Arabidopsis thaliana: one gene and its partner. The protein of the gene in region 1 interacts with the protein of each later gene in a pairwise test. Each region holds a gene or a part of one and is shown on either strand. Other genes may lie near its edges.

Region 1 (9,207 bases):
ATCTGGGCCTCTTCAACACCTCCAACAATGGAAACTCCTTGAATCGAATTCTTGCAATTGAATTTGACACCGTGCAAGCGGTTGAGTTGAATGATATTGACGATAACCACGTAGGCATCGACCTAAATGGAGTGATCTCCATTGCGTCTGCACCGGCTGCATATTTTGATGACCGAGAGGCCAAGAACATAAGCTTGAGGCTGGCGAGTGGGAAACCAGTAAGAGTCTGGATCGAATACAACGCCACTGAGACAATGCTTAATGTCACATTGGCTCCTCTAGATCGTCCGAAGCCAAGTATACCTCTTCTCTCGAGAAAAATGAATCTTTCAGGGATTTTCTCCCAAGAACATCACGTTGGATTCTCTGCGTCCACGGGGACTGTAGCGAGCTCACATTTTGTTCTAGGTTGGAGCTTCAACATCGAAGGGAAAGAATCAGACTTTGATATCACGAAGCTTCCTTCTCTCCCAGATCCGCCACCAACATTGTCTCCATCCCCAAGTCCTCCGGTTTCAACCGAGAAGAAGTCGAACAACACGATGCTGATCATAATCGTCGCTGCATCAGCAACGGTTGCACTCATGATCCTAATCTTCTCAGGATTTTGGTTCTTACGTAGAGACAAAATATTCTTCATCGGAGGTGCAAGGAAATTCTCCTACCAGACGATATCGAACGCAACGGGAGGTTTCGACAATTCTAAACTCTTGGGAGAGAGAAACTCTGGAAGTTTCTACAAAGGACAGCTTGCTCCCACAGAGATAATTGCCGTAAAGAAGATTACTTGCACCACAAGGCAACAAAAGACAACCCTAATAGCCGAGATCGATGCGATCTCCAAGATTAAACAACGAAACCTAGTCAATCTACATGGTTACTGCAGCAAAGGAAAAGATATCTATCTTGTTTACGAGTATGTCCCCAATGGAAGCCTAGACCGGTTCTTGTTCAACAACGACCGACCAGTTCTCACCTGGTCAGATCGGTTCTGTATAATAAAGGGGATTGCAGCAGCACTTCAACACCTTCACGGTGAAGGTCAAAAACCTTTGATTCATGGAAACGTAAAAGCAAGCAACGTACTCTTAGACGAAGAGCTAAACGCTCGACTAGGCGACTATGGACAAGGAAGCAGACACAGCACCACAGGGCACGTTGCACCAGAACTAGTCAACACGGGAAAGGTAACACGTGACACAGATGTGTTTGCGTTTGGAGTGTTGATGATGGAGATCGTTTGTGGAAGGAAGGCCATAGAGCCGACTAAAGCACCAGAAGAGATAAGTTTGGTGAACTGGGTGCTTCAAGGGTTCAAGAAAGGTGATCTGTTAATGAGCTGCGACACAAGAATCAATAGAGAGAATTTGGTAGCTCGAGAAGTATTATTGGTTCTGAAAACAGGACTTCTCTGCGCCAACCGATCTCCAGAATCAAGGCCAATGATGAAAAATGTGTTTCGGTATCTCGAAGGAACTGAAGCTCTCCCTCATGATGACTACCTCTTCTATGGAGTCTAAAAAGTGATCTCACAAACGTGTCTGTATTTTGAATTGTGTGATTTCAAGATTGGACGAAGATGCATTAAGCATGATGATGTGAATAAAGCCTATAATTGTATTTTACTCCATTTGTAAATTTGAAAATAAGAATTTCTGGTTTTGAGAAATATTTTCTTGTTGTTAGGACAATCTGATCCTACTCTTCTGGGAAAATGATCATTACAAAATATATCTTTGATCTATTTAAAATCTAAATGATATTTTGTTATGTCAGTTTAGGATACATAGCTACGAAACTTATATCATGACTTCATCATATACAGGAATATTTTCCATGAAAACATCTCTTGGGTTTTTTTTGTTAGCTTATATTAACCTAAATGGTTTTTTAAAGCTTATGTTAACATAAAGGGACCACCCAATGCAAGAAACAATTTTGCTATCATAATTGTCACTTGTCCAATTTTGCTATCATAATTGTCACTTGTCCAATTTTGCTGCCACCAACAAACAGACCACATAAGAAAGTTTGGAACATGTAAGAAAAAACACAACATAAGATGATGTTCATAAATCTAGCAAGGGATAGTATCATAAAAGATGATGTTCAAATAACGCTGGACAAGGGACTTAGTGGCTAATGCCCTTCTTTGCTTTCAATGACTCGAGTGCTTTGTTTCGCAACTCAATTTCAAGCCTCTTTGGATCAGATTCCTCCCCTTTTTTAATCTTAGGACGGGCCTCAACTTCACCTTCTGAAGTATCAGAAAGCTCTTGTTTCTTATGCTTCTCCTTTCCACCACGACGTTCTTCCCTTTTACGATGTCTCTCCTCTCGCCTACGTTTCTTCTCCTCCTTTCTCGTTTTCTTCTCCTCCTTCCTCCTCCTTTTAGCCTCCTTCCTATCATCTACGTCGGAATCAGAACTGCCATTATCATCTGAAGATACTTCTTCCCTTGAAGACCTTTTATTCTTTCTTCTATTTTTATCCTTAATTTGATGTCTGATGGTATCCTTAGAATCACAGGAAAGGTTTGCATCCAGGTCGCTGTTATCCTCTTTCTCAACCTGCTCACTGTCTTTCACTTTACTAGAAACAGGCCGACTCCTTCCTTCTGAATTTTCTACTGGGGACATCTGTGAACCATGGTGTCTGTGAACAGATCGCTTCTCTGACAACTTATCACTGTTAAGAAGTTGAATAGACCAACATTTATCAGACCTTGATATTTGAAGTCAAACGAAAATCATTTGGAAAATGAAAAGAAACAAAATGCACCTCTTTCTCTCCTGCTCCTTATAATGTTCTACACGCCCAACTTCTAGCAACTTCTCTGGTAATTGTTTCCTCTTGTCAGTATCAGGCACTGAAGTTCTCTTTAACAGCTTGGAATTTTGAACCCTGTCACAATGCGAAAGCAGACAGAGGGTCAAGGAGTTAACAAGTACAGATAAGAAGAAGATTATAGTAAATGGAGTCATGAAGACCATACCTATCTTGTTCTTCAGATAGACGCCCAGGAGATCTTCTCTCTCTCTGATGTTTTCTTCCACGTGGAGAAGGAGATCTATGAAGAACAGGAGGTGATCGCGACCTAGAAGGAGATCTGCTCGAAGATGGAGACCGTCTCCTGCGTCTATCAGGTGATCGTGAAGCAGATGAAGATCTTCGACTTCGCCGGTTGACAGGTGTTGGTGATCTGCGCCGAACAGGAGAGCGCGCTTTCTGATGTCGAGATGAAGGAGAAGATTTACCTCGACCCCTAACAGGTGACATAGATCCATCTTGCTTGATATGTGAAGGGGAAGTATGGCGTCCACCTTGTGACAGGGAGACTCGCTCTTCGTCAGGTGTCAGTGACCTGCGTCTTCTAACAGGTGGAGATGGTAACACTTTTTTCCTACCAGGAGGGGACAATGAGCTGGGTGATGGTGATTCCAGGTGATTGGCTGCATGAGATCCTCCAATCCTCATTGGTGAAGGTAATCCTGCACGCCTAGGGGGTGGTGAAGGCAACCTTTGCGCAGGGGGTGGTGAAGGTAATCCTGCACGCCTAGGGGGTGGTGAAGGCAACCTTTGTGCAACGGGTGGTGAAGGCAATCTTTGCTCAATGGATGGTGAAGGCAATCTTGCCCCAGTGGGATCCCTGAGCCTAGCCACTGGTGACGGAGACCTCCCTGGTGAGTCAGACCTTCCCCGCTTAGCCAGCGGTGACCGTGACCTGTTACGCCTATAGAGTGGAGATGGAGACCTGTTACGCCTGTAGAGTGGAGATGGAGACCTACGCCGCCTAGCTGGCGGTGAAGGAGACCTACGCCGCCTAGCTGGCGGTGAAGGAGACCTACGCCGCCTAGCTGGCGGTGGAGAACGGTGACGCCTAGCAGGGGGCGATGGTGACCTGCGCTGCCTTGCAGGTGGTGTTGGAGACCTGTGCCGTCTAGCAGGTGGTGATGGTGACCTGCGCCGTCTAGCAGGTGGGGATGGTGACCTGCGCCGTCTAGCAGGTGGGGATGGAGAACGGCGACGTCTTGAAGGGGCTGGTGATTGACGGCGTCCCTCATGCGTAGGTCGCCTGTGACGTCTAATAGGTGACCGCGACCTGCTTCTGAAAGGAGAGTGTATCCTACGTCGCCGAGGAGACAGAGACCTACGCACGGAACGTGATCTGGATCTACGTCTTGAATTCGACAATCTTCGCTTTCTAGGTGAGATGGAGGCATCTGATGATTGAGATGTGCTCCTGGATTTCCGTTCGCTGTTATAAAAGTAGACAGCATTAGCAAAAACTGCACTAGGATTTACAGAAAATAATAGATACAGAACTAGCTAGCTACACATCACAGGCTACAATTTCTTTGGATTAAGAAAAACAATTGCAGAAGGCTACATACCCAGAATAACTTTTCGAGCCTGAATTTGTTTTGCTGATTGACCTAGAACGTGACCCTCTGTAAAGCAACCAATCAATATATACTTGCACATATAAGCAAATTGTATTAGAAAAAACAAAACTATTGAAGAGTCACCTAAGGGGTGAGCGGGATGCATCTCCGCGACGTGGAGGTATCAGATCCCTGCATCAAGTGGAGGCAATGTCAGAACCCACTTACATAATAATCTTGGCCACAAACAAATTCCTGGACCACCAGCAAACCAAATGCACATGCAAAGTACCAGTAGCATACCTAAAAATGCTAAAAGACTAGAAGACCCAGAACAGTCATTTATAGAAATACTTGAACAACTCATGCCCACGAGTTCTTATAGAGAAAATCAACGTACAAAGTTATGAGTAGACTAGAAGGATGAACTCAATCAATAATAAAGTACACAAGGGAATACAGCGATGAGTAGAGAGTAGCTATGAAATCATAGGCATTAAGAGAACTCTACCTTCTCCTTTCTTTTACACCATTCTTCTCGTCAGCCCTTCTCCCATCCTCTGGACGATCTCTTGAAGGTTTTGCATCCATGCCATTTGTCTCCTTATGTTCTACACCGCTGTCCTACAGTAGTTGAGGTAAAGCACATGAACCCTAATAATTGCAGAAGCTATCTGAATAACATGAAAGAACAGGCGAATGTTAAAACCAGAAGAGCATCTCTAAAGCTGAAACTCTAGCATGAATAAGAACGTCTTACTATTTTCCTCAATATATCGTGCTCAATGTTCTTCTTATCTCCCTCCCTCTTCTTCATTATTTCATTTGCTTCTTCCTGCCACATAAAGGATAATAATCATGAAACAGTAGGACAGAGACAAGTCGTTCACCAAACTAACTTCAGAATGAGTTCCCAAGAATACCTGTTTCTTCTTTGTTTCAGCAGCTCTAGCATCTAAAAACTGCTGTGGAACACCACTTGGATTATTCTGTGCGCTTAGAAGAAGTGTCCAAAGTTCTTTCATAAATTTGCCAGTATTTTTCTCCATGAATCCAGTTAGCGTTATCTGAATCTCCTTACCATTCACTACCTACATACATAGTGAACGTTCAATTACATATTAGTCCAACAAAAAAAAATCACTTGTATCAATGGCATGGGCTACGAAATCATACTACCCCTCTGTCACTTATTAACAGTCGAATAAAAAGCTCAGAAAAATAAAATCTCAGTAATGAGCTTACCTTCCCGTCAAGCAGACCATAGATAAAGTTAATCAGCACTTCATCTTCAATACCAAGAAGCTCAGTGACTCTAGTCGCAATCCAAGGTTTCATAACATCCATCTTCACTTTAGTGATATCCACCTAACACCAAGGCAAGTAGAAGACATCATTAAGCCCTCCCCAAACTTAATTTCATAGTAACATATGTATCGAATTATCTGGTAATCGAATCTCAATTAAGTAAATTCAAGCTACGAATTCACAAATCGTTAAAATGGACGAGTACACAAAGAGAAAACTCACCAGATTCTCTAACTCCGGAGCAAATTTCTGGCTTTTCATCAATTTAGCTTGCTTGTTAGAAAACCGAGTATCCTGCTCGGCGGAAGTACCCTAAAAGCTCAAAACAAAGAAGTTATTAAACCATGGGAACTTCAACAAAACTTTTGAATTGCATCGATCTGGATCTAAAAGATGAGAGATCAATTGAGAAAATTGATCGGAAAACTAACCCGGAAGAAACCGCCGGACATAGTTTAGGGTTTGTGGAAGCACTAGCTCGTCTCTAGAAGAAAGATCGAAGCTTGAGAGAGATTTGTGAGATTTAGATGTGAAAATGGGGCTTCCACAGAGATTTTGAAGAGTTTTTAACGAGCCCTAGCTATATCGGACTCACTTCATTTTGTTTTTCCATTGTTACCCTCAGAGGTTTTGAGAATTACGTTATTGCCATTTATTGGAACATGTTCGGTCTCATCTTCTTGACAAGCCTTTTTTGTAATCTGATTGGTTTCAATTGCCATAGCTTATGGGCCAGTTTTAGCCCAAAGCAAACCTAGTCTTAATTAATCTCGTAGGTCTATTTGAATGAGTAAAACATTTTATCTTATTGGTACATATGCAATTTTGGAAGTGGTTTTTTTCTTCTAAAACGAACAGTGTGGTCACGGAAATTTATGTGCATTGTGTGGACTGATTAAGCAATTGAAAATGGTTTTAGGTTAAGTAGGGTTGGTAGATGAAGTTAATAAGAGAGAGAGAAGATGAAACTTGAAAGTGTTTGAGGTTTAAGAGATAAATGTGGAAAAGGAATGGAAAAGTTACATGTGGTGGTAATCTTGAAAGTGAAATAGATTAGAGTAATCAATGTGAACCTTATGGGACGTGAAAGGAAGATGACTATGATTATAAGTTTTGGGGTGTGCATTACTCGGTAAAAATATGGGTTGGTGCAACAAAATGAAGGAGTTAGGTTTGGTCAACTCGTCCTACTACATTAGAGTAACTTATGTTTCTTAAACCATAGGTGAAAGTGTGGGTGGAAACTATATAACAGTTGTTTGATCGTAATTTGTGTGGACAACAAGTGCGCATGGAAGGTGTATGGGCACACAATATAAGGTAGGTATGAGAATTGAGAACATATAAGTATGCAAATGGAAAAATGAGAGCAATGACTATAGTTATCTCTAATATTGTATTAGACTAGATTTTAACCCGCAGTACACCGCGGAAACAATTTATTTTTTTAATTAATATATATAAAAGTTTGTAAATTTTATCTATCTATAAAATATTTTTATTGTATAGTTTACAATTGTTATTAAATAACGTCCTGCCAAACTCGTCCCGCCAACCCGTCCTCTAAAAAAAACTCATTTATTTTATTAATGTTGATTTTATTTATGATATGTTTATGAATTATTGTCTAAATATTTTGTAATTTTGTAGTAATTAAATGCTATCAAATATCTCTACGGTTTGATGATTATAATCATGCAGAAAAGCAATATCAAAAATGATAATTTTGTAGTAATTAAATGATATTAAATATTTTAGAAGTTTTATTTTAGTAATTAATCGTGTAGTTAAGGTTGAGAGATTTTGGGAAGATTGTTAAATGTCAAATATTTAATTAGAAGATTTTCTTTCTAATTATCAAAAACAATTATTAAATGCCAGTGGCAGCCGTTGTAAATAAATCCCAACTCCAGTATTTATTTCACAAAGTAGCAGCAAAAATGTATATATAGATGAGCTCATAACTCTGTGTTTCAGTTTCATATATGAGGGCATGTCATGCAAAAGATAATAACATATTTTCTTTTGTCATCACCATCATCGAAATTATGGACTTTGACGTATTTGTATGATATATAAAGCAAAATTTATGTCAGTAAAGAAAAAAATCAACTTGGAAGACTTTTTAAGATTCGTTATTTAATTTATTTTTTCTTTCCAATTACAAACAAACTTTGCCTCTACATGAATCAAAAAACCGTAAAAACAGAAACATTTTTGCAACCGTCACTAACGTTATCATCATCGAATTAACGAATTCACCAAATCTTTGCTGACAAGAAAATAATGTAAGTTTCGCCTAACATCTCCGCTGAAAAAAAAGCAAAACTTTCATAAATTTAAATAAAATCTCAAAAGTTAAGAGGTAAATATAATATTTTTTTGTCATTTTCCTAATTAAGAAATCCTACTATATTATTTAGGAAGTACATTTTAAATATAACCTTATTTTTTGTAAGTAATTACATAAGTATGCCATTAGAAATAAAATTTAAAGAGTAAATTAATTCATCTCTTTAATAATTAAGTCAAATACTAATTTAATTAATTAAATTTAATTAAAAAACAAAATACATTATTAATTTCCAAAAAAGTAACCAATTAAAATCAACAAATTAGATTTGATATCTAAATTATCATATTAATTTTTTATTAATTATTATAGTTCACCTCTCATCTTTATATGATTCTATTTTGGCGAAAAAATAATATCATCGTTATAAAAAAATAATTAGAGTTTTTTCGCATATGCCATAATTTGAATTTTTAAAAACTAATATAAACTGTTCAATACATGAAAAAATATTATAACGGGTCAAAAATAGATTTAAGAAAATTTTCTACTGAATACTGGGTCATAATTTGAATATTTATATTCAATTTCATACATATTATTTTAAAAATTTATAATCTTATATACTACAATAATTAATAACATATTAGATTTTTTTATGTGTATGATGTGATTCAATTTTTAATACAAGATAGAAAATCCTAGAATTGACGGGTTTAAATCGATATTAATACAAGATGGTATACTACATGTGAAACTCTAAAATTAACAATCAAAATACAAGTGTATAATTTTAAACACTAAACAATATAAATAATATCAACAAAACATATACAACTCGCAGTTTACTATACATTTAAAATCAAATAAAATAATATCATATATTTATAATCATCTTTACAATAAAAATTTTTAGTTTAAATAAAATATAAGCCTACATGTGGTATACTGCAAGTTAAAATTATAAATAAGCAGATTACCATCACGATGTCCGTACCTTCTCACATACACACTTATCAAAAATTATAAATAAGCATTTTAAATGTAACCTTATTTTTTGTAAGTAATTACATAGGTATGCCATTAGAAATAAAAACTTAAAACTTTTTAAAACCTCTTGGTATATACAAATTAGGATTCTTCATTCATAAAATCATTATTCCAAGGGTTTTGGGATGTCTTATGAAATGATTTTGGTAGAAGAGGATGTACATTTTTTTG
Region 2 (8,462 bases), on another chromosome or scaffold:
GAAAATATCGTATATTTTGTCGTCAAGAGATCTTTCCATAACTTGGAGCGATCAAAGACATTACTGGTCTTGGAGCCCACGATCAGATTCAAGGTCGTTATTAATTTAATCATATCATTGGTGTAACAGTGTAAGCAATAATTTTTGTTTCAATATTTTGATTATAGGTTTTCCGAAGGAGTCCAACTTATAATGACAGATTGGTTAGAAATCATCGGAAAAATCCAAACCGGAGCTTTATCGCCGAACACAAACTACGGAGCTTATCTGATTATGAAAGTAACGTCACGTGCCTATGGACTAGACCTAGTTCCGGCAGAGACATCGATAAAAGTGGGAAATGGTGAAAAGAAAATAAAGTCAACTTATCTAAGTTGCTTGGATAACAAGAAACAACAAATGGAACGTGTGTTTTACGGACAAAGAGAACAGAGGATGGCGACGCATGAGGTTGTCCGAAGTCATCGGAGGGAGCCAGAGGTGAGAGACGATGGGTGGATGGAGATAGAGCTGGGAGAGTTCGAGACAGGATCAGGAGAAGGTGATGACGACAAGGAGGTTGTTATGAGTCTGACTGAAGTTAAAGGTTATCAATTGAAGGGTGGAATTGCCATTGATGGGATTGAAGTAAGGCCTAAACCCCTAAAAGTGAGGGCCGGGACCAACTAAAAGATGAGTGCCAAATTTTGTGTTTACCGGATAATGTGTTTGGTTTGGGTAAAAAAATGTAAGATGAGAAAACTGTTTTGGTGGGTTGGTAATAACTCTAATCGAGTTATACATTATTAATTTATAATACATTAGAGTAGATAGTAGTTTCTTTTGTTTGACATTTATTTGATAACATTCTGAAAATTGATTAATATCCGTTAGGTATCATTTTGTTCAAACATCTCTGTCAATTCAATTGTATTAAAAATGAAAGCGTTTAAGTAATATTATCCATAATAGAAGTACCTAAAATCACCATAAGCTATACAAATACGAATAATTCTGTTTTAACGACATTTTGCAAAAATAGTATACAAAGGGAGATATCCACGCTTTACCAAAGTAAAAGTTAATATTGAATAGGACAACAGCGAAATAGACGTGTCTTAATGTCGTCATTTCATTTGGCACATGAGGACATTCTTAGCTCATATCGAATTTCTAGTGTTACCTAATCTCATGTTAGGTGGCTTATACAAATTTTTGGTTGATACAACGTCGTCATATCGTGCAAGCACGTGTATGTAGTACTATTATAGCTTTAATACCTAATTAGTAGATAAACAGTGGGCACATTCTGCCTAATCGTTTATACTTTATAGGCTTATAGCAATTTGTTAAGTTCAATTAGGATGACTTTAAATATATTCTGACCGAAATAAATTTGAACAGCTTTTTAATCTTACTTGTTTGATTATACGGAATTAGAAACTGTAACCTTAGCTAAGGTTGACGTTCCCTCATAAAATAAGTATCAAATGTTTGAAAACAAATCAAACCAAAGCTAAGGTTGATCCGGACAAAAGCTCCATAAGTTTAGAGAGAACATAAAAGGAGACCAATATATCTCTCCGACACTGATTCACATTTGACATTGTCCTCAGTCTAGTCGTTCCATCTGCAATACAAATTTCAGAAACTTTTGATTTGTGTTCTTCCAAAATCGATTTTTATATCAACAATGAGACTGCTTGGCAATACTACGAATAGAGAAACCAGAGACAAGTATTGGTACCTTCCAGAGACCGTCGTTGAGGTAATGCATGTTGTCAACTCCTATTCCTTTGTTAATGCTCTTTCTGTGAACATACACAAGAAAAGTTTAGCGATGCGAAAGAAATTTTATGAGCAAACAGGGGAAACACGGCCAAAATTGATCCTGGTGCAGGTATGTGTATCTAAGGGAAGAAGGAATATCAATAAAGTGACAAAGATAGGGTTACTTGGAGAGGCCTGGAGCCAAGAGACTGTATTTTGGCTAAGATACGAAAGTATATCAAAGCACATGTTTGTATTTTCAAATAAATTCCAGCGAAAAATTGACTTACATGTCCTTTGCTGACATTTTGGTGAAGCCTATTGCTAAGGCATGTTGCTTTCCTTCTGCATATATGGCCTAAACAAATACAGATTCATGGTTTAAGATCAGCATATACAAACAAAAATGCAACCCAGGGAAATACTGTTTTTATTCATACCACTGGCCTTTCAGCCTCGACTTCTTGATCCAGAACGCCTCCCGGGGATGTAAGACCAGGACACATTATGTTTGCACCAGACAGAACAAACTTTATGGCACCTCTATCAACTTGAAACCTCTTCATTATATTTGGGTCTGCAAAACTCCAAACATTCAGCTGCCAAATTTTTGACATTCGTGGCTAATTGAAAAAACTCCAAGTTTCTTTCTATGTATCATTCAAGTATGTAAAAGTTAGCTGAACGTGGTGTTTTCAAGAATATTTTATACTCTTCTGGTAACAGCCAATGCCAAAACCTTCTCACTATGATAAGGGTCAGCTAACCCGGAAAACATAAAACAAAATATACTAAACAAAAATCCTGGCTAACCAATCATACGTGGACCTTTTATATAGTTCACTCGCATGAAAAAAGCCAAAGGAACAACAACTTACAGGAACCAAACCCCAGGAAGTTCTAAATAACTCAGAGAAAAGTGTCGGACATACTATTCAGGTATATGCAGTATTTGAACCAGGTAAGTTCTACTGCAGACCACAGTAAGACTAACAGGTGTGAAGAAGAGTGATTGTATGAATAAAACACCCAGATATGTTATGTTTTGATAACAAGACCATATAGCATGGATGGTGTGAAGGAAAAGTGATATTACATTGATGAAGAAGCCGCAGTGTTGGCATGTATGGCCCGTCACGGATACAGAAGAAGAGGGGGACATTGTTGACAACAACTAGGGTCAGATGGTTTGGGCTGCACGAGAAATATAGTCAGGAATACTGTAAGACATAGATAGTGGGTAAAAGAAAATTCAGAAAACAAAACAATGAATATGAGTTTGTTAATTTACAGACCACTTCACTACGATAAGAGGAATCTTTTTGGGAAGTAGATCCTCCATCACTGATTCAAGTCCCGGGTACTGCAACATTAACATAAACATATTTATATCTGACAAACTTCACGAAATCATAAAAGTTTAAGAAGGGGAAAAAGACAAATGAAACAACAGACATACCTCATCTTGGATACTCTGGCGGATCCTACGTTGAACAGATGCCTTCACTTGGTTTTGTGATGAAATCTCCTCCAAACAAAACCTAAATAAAAAGTAGTGAACATAAATAACACCTTCATAGACATAATGGTATATCAAATAGATCTAAAGTTGATAGCAGTAGGGAAAAATAAACTTTATACAAGATTCACTATGAATGTATAAGCATGTTTCAGGAGATGGATAAACACAAACTCCATGATAGTAGAGAGTTTAGACTGGTCAAATCAAGACACAAACTTTCCTCTATGACCCACGACTCTTTGTACAGATTTGATAAATCAAATAGTGACACTATCAATATAGAAACCAAAACTTTACAATAGCAAGATGTTAGCTTTTGAGAACTCAAAACCTTCTACTTTGAAGAAAATATAACAACCAATATGCCCATACCAAGGCTACTCTAAGCAATCAAATTAACAATGTGGTCGACAACAAGTAGAAGGGAGTGAGTTCTCGATAGTTATTAGAGTAAGTGGATACTAAATAAAGAGACCATCACATTCTTTATCAACTAGTATAAACAATGCCGAGATGTTGAAACCACTAATTCTTAGATTCTACAATCCGGGTATGAAAAACAGTTTCTATCTAAATAAAAAAGTAGAGAAAGAATCTAGAAAGAGACAAAGATGCTTACTTCTTAAACATGTTCGAGGTTTATTGAAAATGATCACCAGCTTCTAACTATGGTATCTTCTTCCCTGCAAGCGAACAGTGGAAGATGATTGATAACGGAAATATCGGAACATCACTCAACAAACCAAAAATTTGGACATCATATCGCAACAAATTCAATAGGAAAAATACTGAAATTCCAAAACAGAAAAACCAAACGGAACAGAGCAGGAACTCACGGACTGAGAGAGACCGTGGACGGTGTCACGGCGGAAAATGGTCTTGGACGGAGTTACTAATCGGCGAATTGAGATTTGAGAGGTGGTAGTAGAGGAACCGAGAGAATGTTTCTCTCAAAAAAATCCCCAAGTGTTTCCGATCTAGTGTCTCTTTTGTCCAAAAACGACAGTGTTTAGGAAACCTAGGAGAATGAATGACCCGATGGTCCGAATCCGATTCGAAATTGGTTCGAATTGTAATAACTAACATACAATATTCCGGTTTGAATGATAAGAAAAAACACATTCGATCCGGTTAGAACAATATATTAACAGGCCCATTAAAACATATGGGCCGATCTTGATCAACTGGGCTATTCATCGTTGATACATGCGGCCGCACAGGATTAAAATCCAGTTCCGTTTTATAAAAGGATACTAGTTTCCAAACGAACGGTGGTTGTCTCCTTTCCAGAACAATCTAACGCTTTCTCGAACATCTTCTTCTTCTTCTTTCTCGAAATTATTTTTCCAGTAATCAATTTCTTCTCTTCTAGATTTTTACAGGAACTAATTTTCTGCTCTGAGGTATCAGATGAGTAGCCGATGGAATCGTACGATCTACGTTGGGAATTTGCCTGGAGATATTCGCAAGTGTGAGGTTGAAGATCTCTTCTACAAGGTTTGAAAATTCCTCTTTTCTCTCGATAAAAATTGAATTCATTATGACTTGTTTGGGTTCATAAATTTGCAATTCTGTCTTGCTGAGACAATTTAAATCGACTCTTATGTATATTTGTTTCAGTATGGACCAATTGTGGACATTGATTTGAAGATTCCACCGAGACCTCCTGGTTATGCCTTTGTCGAGGTATATTGATCAAGTACAAATTTGTTTTTTTCTTCTTCTTGTAATAGTATAGGCTAATGACTAAGATAGTTTGTTATTGGTGGCAGTTTGAAGATCCTCGTGATGCAGACGATGCAATTTATGGACGTGATGGTTATGATTTTGATGGGTGTCGACTTCGGGTTAGTAAACGCATGATGAAAGCTAGCTTAATTTTCTGTAATTTCTTGTAAAGGTGTTATCTTTGTGTGATGTTTTTAGGTTGAGATTGCACATGGTGGTCGTAGATTTTCACCATCAGTTGATAGGTACAGCAGCAGCTACAGTGCGAGCCGTGCACCTTCAAGACGCTCTGACTACCGCGGTTTGTAGAGTCTTCTCGATTGTGTTATTTGGTGTTGTGTAAAATTTTATATTTGAAAACTCATTTTTACTACCTAAACATGTAGTGCTTGTGACCGGATTACCGCCTTCTGCTTCGTGGCAGGACCTTAAGGTAAGGGACACTATATAGTCTTTTTCTCTGAATGTTGGTTCTCTATATCATGTTTTGGATTTATCTCTTTTCTGAAATGATGTTATTTGCTATTTACGGGTGATTAGGATCACATGCGCAAAGCTGGAGATGTCTGCTTCTCTGAAGTTTTCCCTGACCGTAAAGGTGAGTTGACATTCGATAGTTTGGATAAGCTTTTGATTGATGTGTTAGTAAATTAGTCTTTGTGAAGGAGAATAGGTGTTAAGCATCTGAACTGCTAAACTCACATTCAGTATTTCTTTGTAGGCATGTCTGGGGTTGTGGATTATAGCAACTATGATGATATGAAGTACGCAGTAAGTTTTATATCTTTGCAACGCAAATGTTCCTGGACTTATGCCTTAGACTGCTTTTGTTTCATAGTATACCGAGCTGAATTTATCTTCCTGGAGGCCAGTGTTGGATCTTTGATGTTCCCTTAAAATTTTTGATGTGACAGATAAGGAAACTTGATGCCACTGAATTTCGAAATGCTTTCTCTAGTGCTTATATACGGGTATGTTGTATTGCTTTCTTTGATTTTGTTAAGCATAAGTGGATATGGAGTCATCTCTGAATTTACTGTTCAGGTGAGGGAATATGAGTCGAGGAGTGTGAGTCGAAGCCCAGATGATTCTAAAAGCTATAGAAGCAGGAGTCGGAGCCGTGGTCCAAGCTGTAGCTATAGTAGCAAGAGCAGGAGGTCTTTTTTTTTTTTTTTTTTTCATAAACCTAAGACATATAAGGGATTTTTATTGTAACTTATTTATGAAATTAACTGACTTCTAAATGCAATGCAGTGTGTCACCTGCTAGATCCATTTCCCCGCGTTCACGGCCCCTTAGTCGTTCTCGCTCGCTATACAGCTCTGTCTCAAGGTATGAGTGTTAGATTTGTATCATTATTATATATGTAGTTACCCCTTCATGGATCACTTGTTCTTGCATAGTGAACTCCTTACTAGCTTTATTACTTACAACTAAGCACCTTTTGTTGCTTCCGTACACAGTTGAATTTGTTTGAGTCTTTTTTCCCTCATAGTGGACTAGTCTATTGTCACTTGATTTTCTTCCTTTGTTGATGTTTTCTATGTCATGCAAACTCCAATATGGGTAAAGGTTACCTCCTTGTTTGGGATTACCAGAGTTCCTTTTCATTTCTTACACGTGAATGTGTTTGTTTTTTATGTTTTGAGTTCTTGACAGAGATGCTCCCATCATATTTAGTCCTTTTCCTTTCTCTTTGTGTCGTTCTCTTCTGGATGTTTCCTTCTGATAAAGCTTTACTTCTTAACTTTTTTCCAGCGACGGTGAATTTATTACGTATCAATCTTCATTATCCGACTTATAATTTAAAGAACACTTAGCTAGATGTTTCACTTTTTGAAAATTTATTTCTATCGGAAGGGGGAAGATGGATTTCTGAGGCATGTCCTCGATCATTTACCGTGATTACAATTGTATTGCGTTGTTTGTTTTCTAGATCTGGCTCACTGCTACGAGCTGGGGATTGGATCTAGATGGGTCATCTAGATGGATTCTTGGACTGGATTTACAAAGCTGGATTAGCATGAACTTGAACTTCTGTTTTTACGGTCTGGTCTGGTCTGGTACTCCGCGCGTATCAGCTGTAGGATCTGATCGCAAAGTTTTGGACTATGATTACTCTGATTCCTCAATATATTTATCTTTTTGACAATAGTGGATTCTGTGTTGAGTTCTTTTCTAGGACAGCATTTAAGCTCCCGGGACTAGATGGGAGATGGTCAGTAAATTTCTTTGTTATGCCACACTTACATGGGGTTTTTGGTCTTGCTGCAGGTCCCAATCAAGATCAAAATCAAGATCAAGATCAAGATCGAATTCTCCAGTTTCACCTGTAAGTCTAAAAGCTGAACCTTCTTTAATTCACAATCCATGGTGTTTGTTTAAATACCTGCTCACTTTGGTTGTTCTTCAATCAACACCAACTTAACGAAATCATGAGACAGACTATAAAATTTGAAGAGTCTTAGAACGACTAGGTCTCACCAACCTCTGTGTGCACTAAAAATCGCCTCTCCAAGTGTTTCAGCAACATAATCTACCTCTGTCATGTGTTATCATTTCTTCTTCTCTTAACGGTATTACATATTATGTTTTGCAGGTGATATCTGGTTGAAAATGAAAACTGGCCACTGGCTGTACCCGAATCGTCTCAAGCTTCTCAGGCTCCACTGCTAATAGAATTTGATTCCGATTTGGGATTATTATACTGGTCTTCTTGTATGGGACGACCAATATGTCTTTCTAGTTTTAGTTGTGAACCTGGAATTGGTCTGTTATTGTGTCATTAAAAAGCCGGAAACTCTGTCTCGGCTGCATAATAAAGTTCATCAGACATTGTGTTGGGTGTGGTGAGGTTTTTCCATACATATACATTTACATTACAACTACTGGTGTCTTTTATGATTATCTTAAACTAAACTTGCAGTGTTAAAACTAAACTTGCTTTTGTTTTTGGATAAGATCACTCTAAAACGGTACAACCCCTGCCTGTATCCTACCAACAGTAACAACACACTACAGCTCATAGGCCATAGCACCAGAGTTTTGTGTAAACGAAATGGCCCAGAATAATTGCAATTTGGTCCGAAAGTAAAGTCTATTGCGACTGGGCCTGTTCCCTAAAATGTGATTTGGGCTATAGCCGGAATATCAAATAGCGGGTCAACCCGAAACCCGACCCAGTAATTATTCTCTCCCCTCCGAAAGCATCGATAAATCCTCTGGTTTCCTTTGTCCAACGAGTCCATTTTCGCGAGCTTCCGTGTCCAAGAGCTCCTCGACCATGGCGTCTTGTTTACAAGCATCCATGAATTCTCTGCTTCCACGCTCTTCTTCTTTTTCTCCTCATCCTCCTCTATCTTCGAATTCATCCGGGAGAAGAAACTTGAAGACTTTTCGTTACGCCTTTCGCGCCAAAGCCTCTGCCAAAATCCCTATGCCTCCGATAAATCCAAAGGATCCT

Evidence for each region.
Region 2: the proteins of AT2G29210 (region 1) and SR30 interact in a two-hybrid assay, tested with the Arabidopsis thaliana proteins (one large-scale study listed by BioGRID).

Annotation. Positions count from the first base shown.
Region 1 is NC_003071.7:12,555,094-12,564,300, reverse strand, and holds AT2G29210 (splicing factor PWI domain-containing protein), read right to left. Parts: upstream 6,323-9,207; 5' UTR 6,146-6,322; coding exon 6,125-6,145; intron 6,006-6,124; coding exon 5,916-6,005; intron 5,754-5,915; coding exon 5,631-5,753; intron 5,477-5,630; coding exon 5,309-5,476; intron 5,221-5,308; coding exon 5,146-5,220; intron 5,010-5,145; coding exon 4,897-5,009; intron 4,578-4,896; coding exon 4,530-4,577; intron 4,452-4,529; coding exon 4,395-4,451; intron 4,259-4,394; coding exon 2,996-4,258; intron 2,905-2,995; coding exon 2,782-2,904; intron 2,689-2,781; coding exon 2,133-2,688; 3' UTR 1,934-2,132; downstream 1-1,933. Other genes in the region: AT2G29220 (Concanavalin A-like lectin protein kinase family protein), read left to right, coding at 1-1,520.
Region 2 is NC_003070.9:2,942,038-2,950,499, reverse strand, and holds SR30 (SERINE-ARGININE PROTEIN 30), read left to right. Parts: upstream 1-4,523; 5' UTR 4,524-4,681; coding exon 4,682-4,768; intron 4,769-4,891; coding exon 4,892-4,957; intron 4,958-5,043; coding exon 5,044-5,118; intron 5,119-5,197; coding exon 5,198-5,300; intron 5,301-5,385; coding exon 5,386-5,432; intron 5,433-5,539; coding exon 5,540-5,597; intron 5,598-5,720; coding exon 5,721-5,770; intron 5,771-5,913; coding exon 5,914-5,970; intron 5,971-6,043; coding exon 6,044-6,156; intron 6,157-6,253; coding exon 6,254-6,331; coding exon of another isoform or gene 6,332-6,344; exon of another isoform or gene 6,345-6,935; coding exon of another isoform or gene 6,936-6,972; exon of another isoform or gene 6,973-7,273; coding exon 7,274-7,331; intron 7,332-7,598; coding exon 7,599-7,613; 3' UTR 7,614-7,962; downstream 7,963-8,462. Other genes in the region: PP2-B15 (phloem protein 2-B15), read left to right, coding at 1-93, 168-669; AT1G09150 (pseudouridine synthase and archaeosine transglycosylase (PUA) domain-containing protein), read right to left, coding at 1,592-1,609, 1,727-1,790, 2,040-2,107, 2,190-2,326, 2,846-2,943, 3,045-3,112, 3,209-3,290, 3,891-3,901; AT1G09130 (ATP-dependent caseinolytic (Clp) protease/crotonase family protein), read left to right, coding at 8,283-8,462. UniProt on the Arabidopsis thaliana protein: Regulatory splicing factor that modulates alternative splicing and gene expression in specific cell types. Autoregulates its own expression. Probably involved in intron recognition and spliceosome assembly.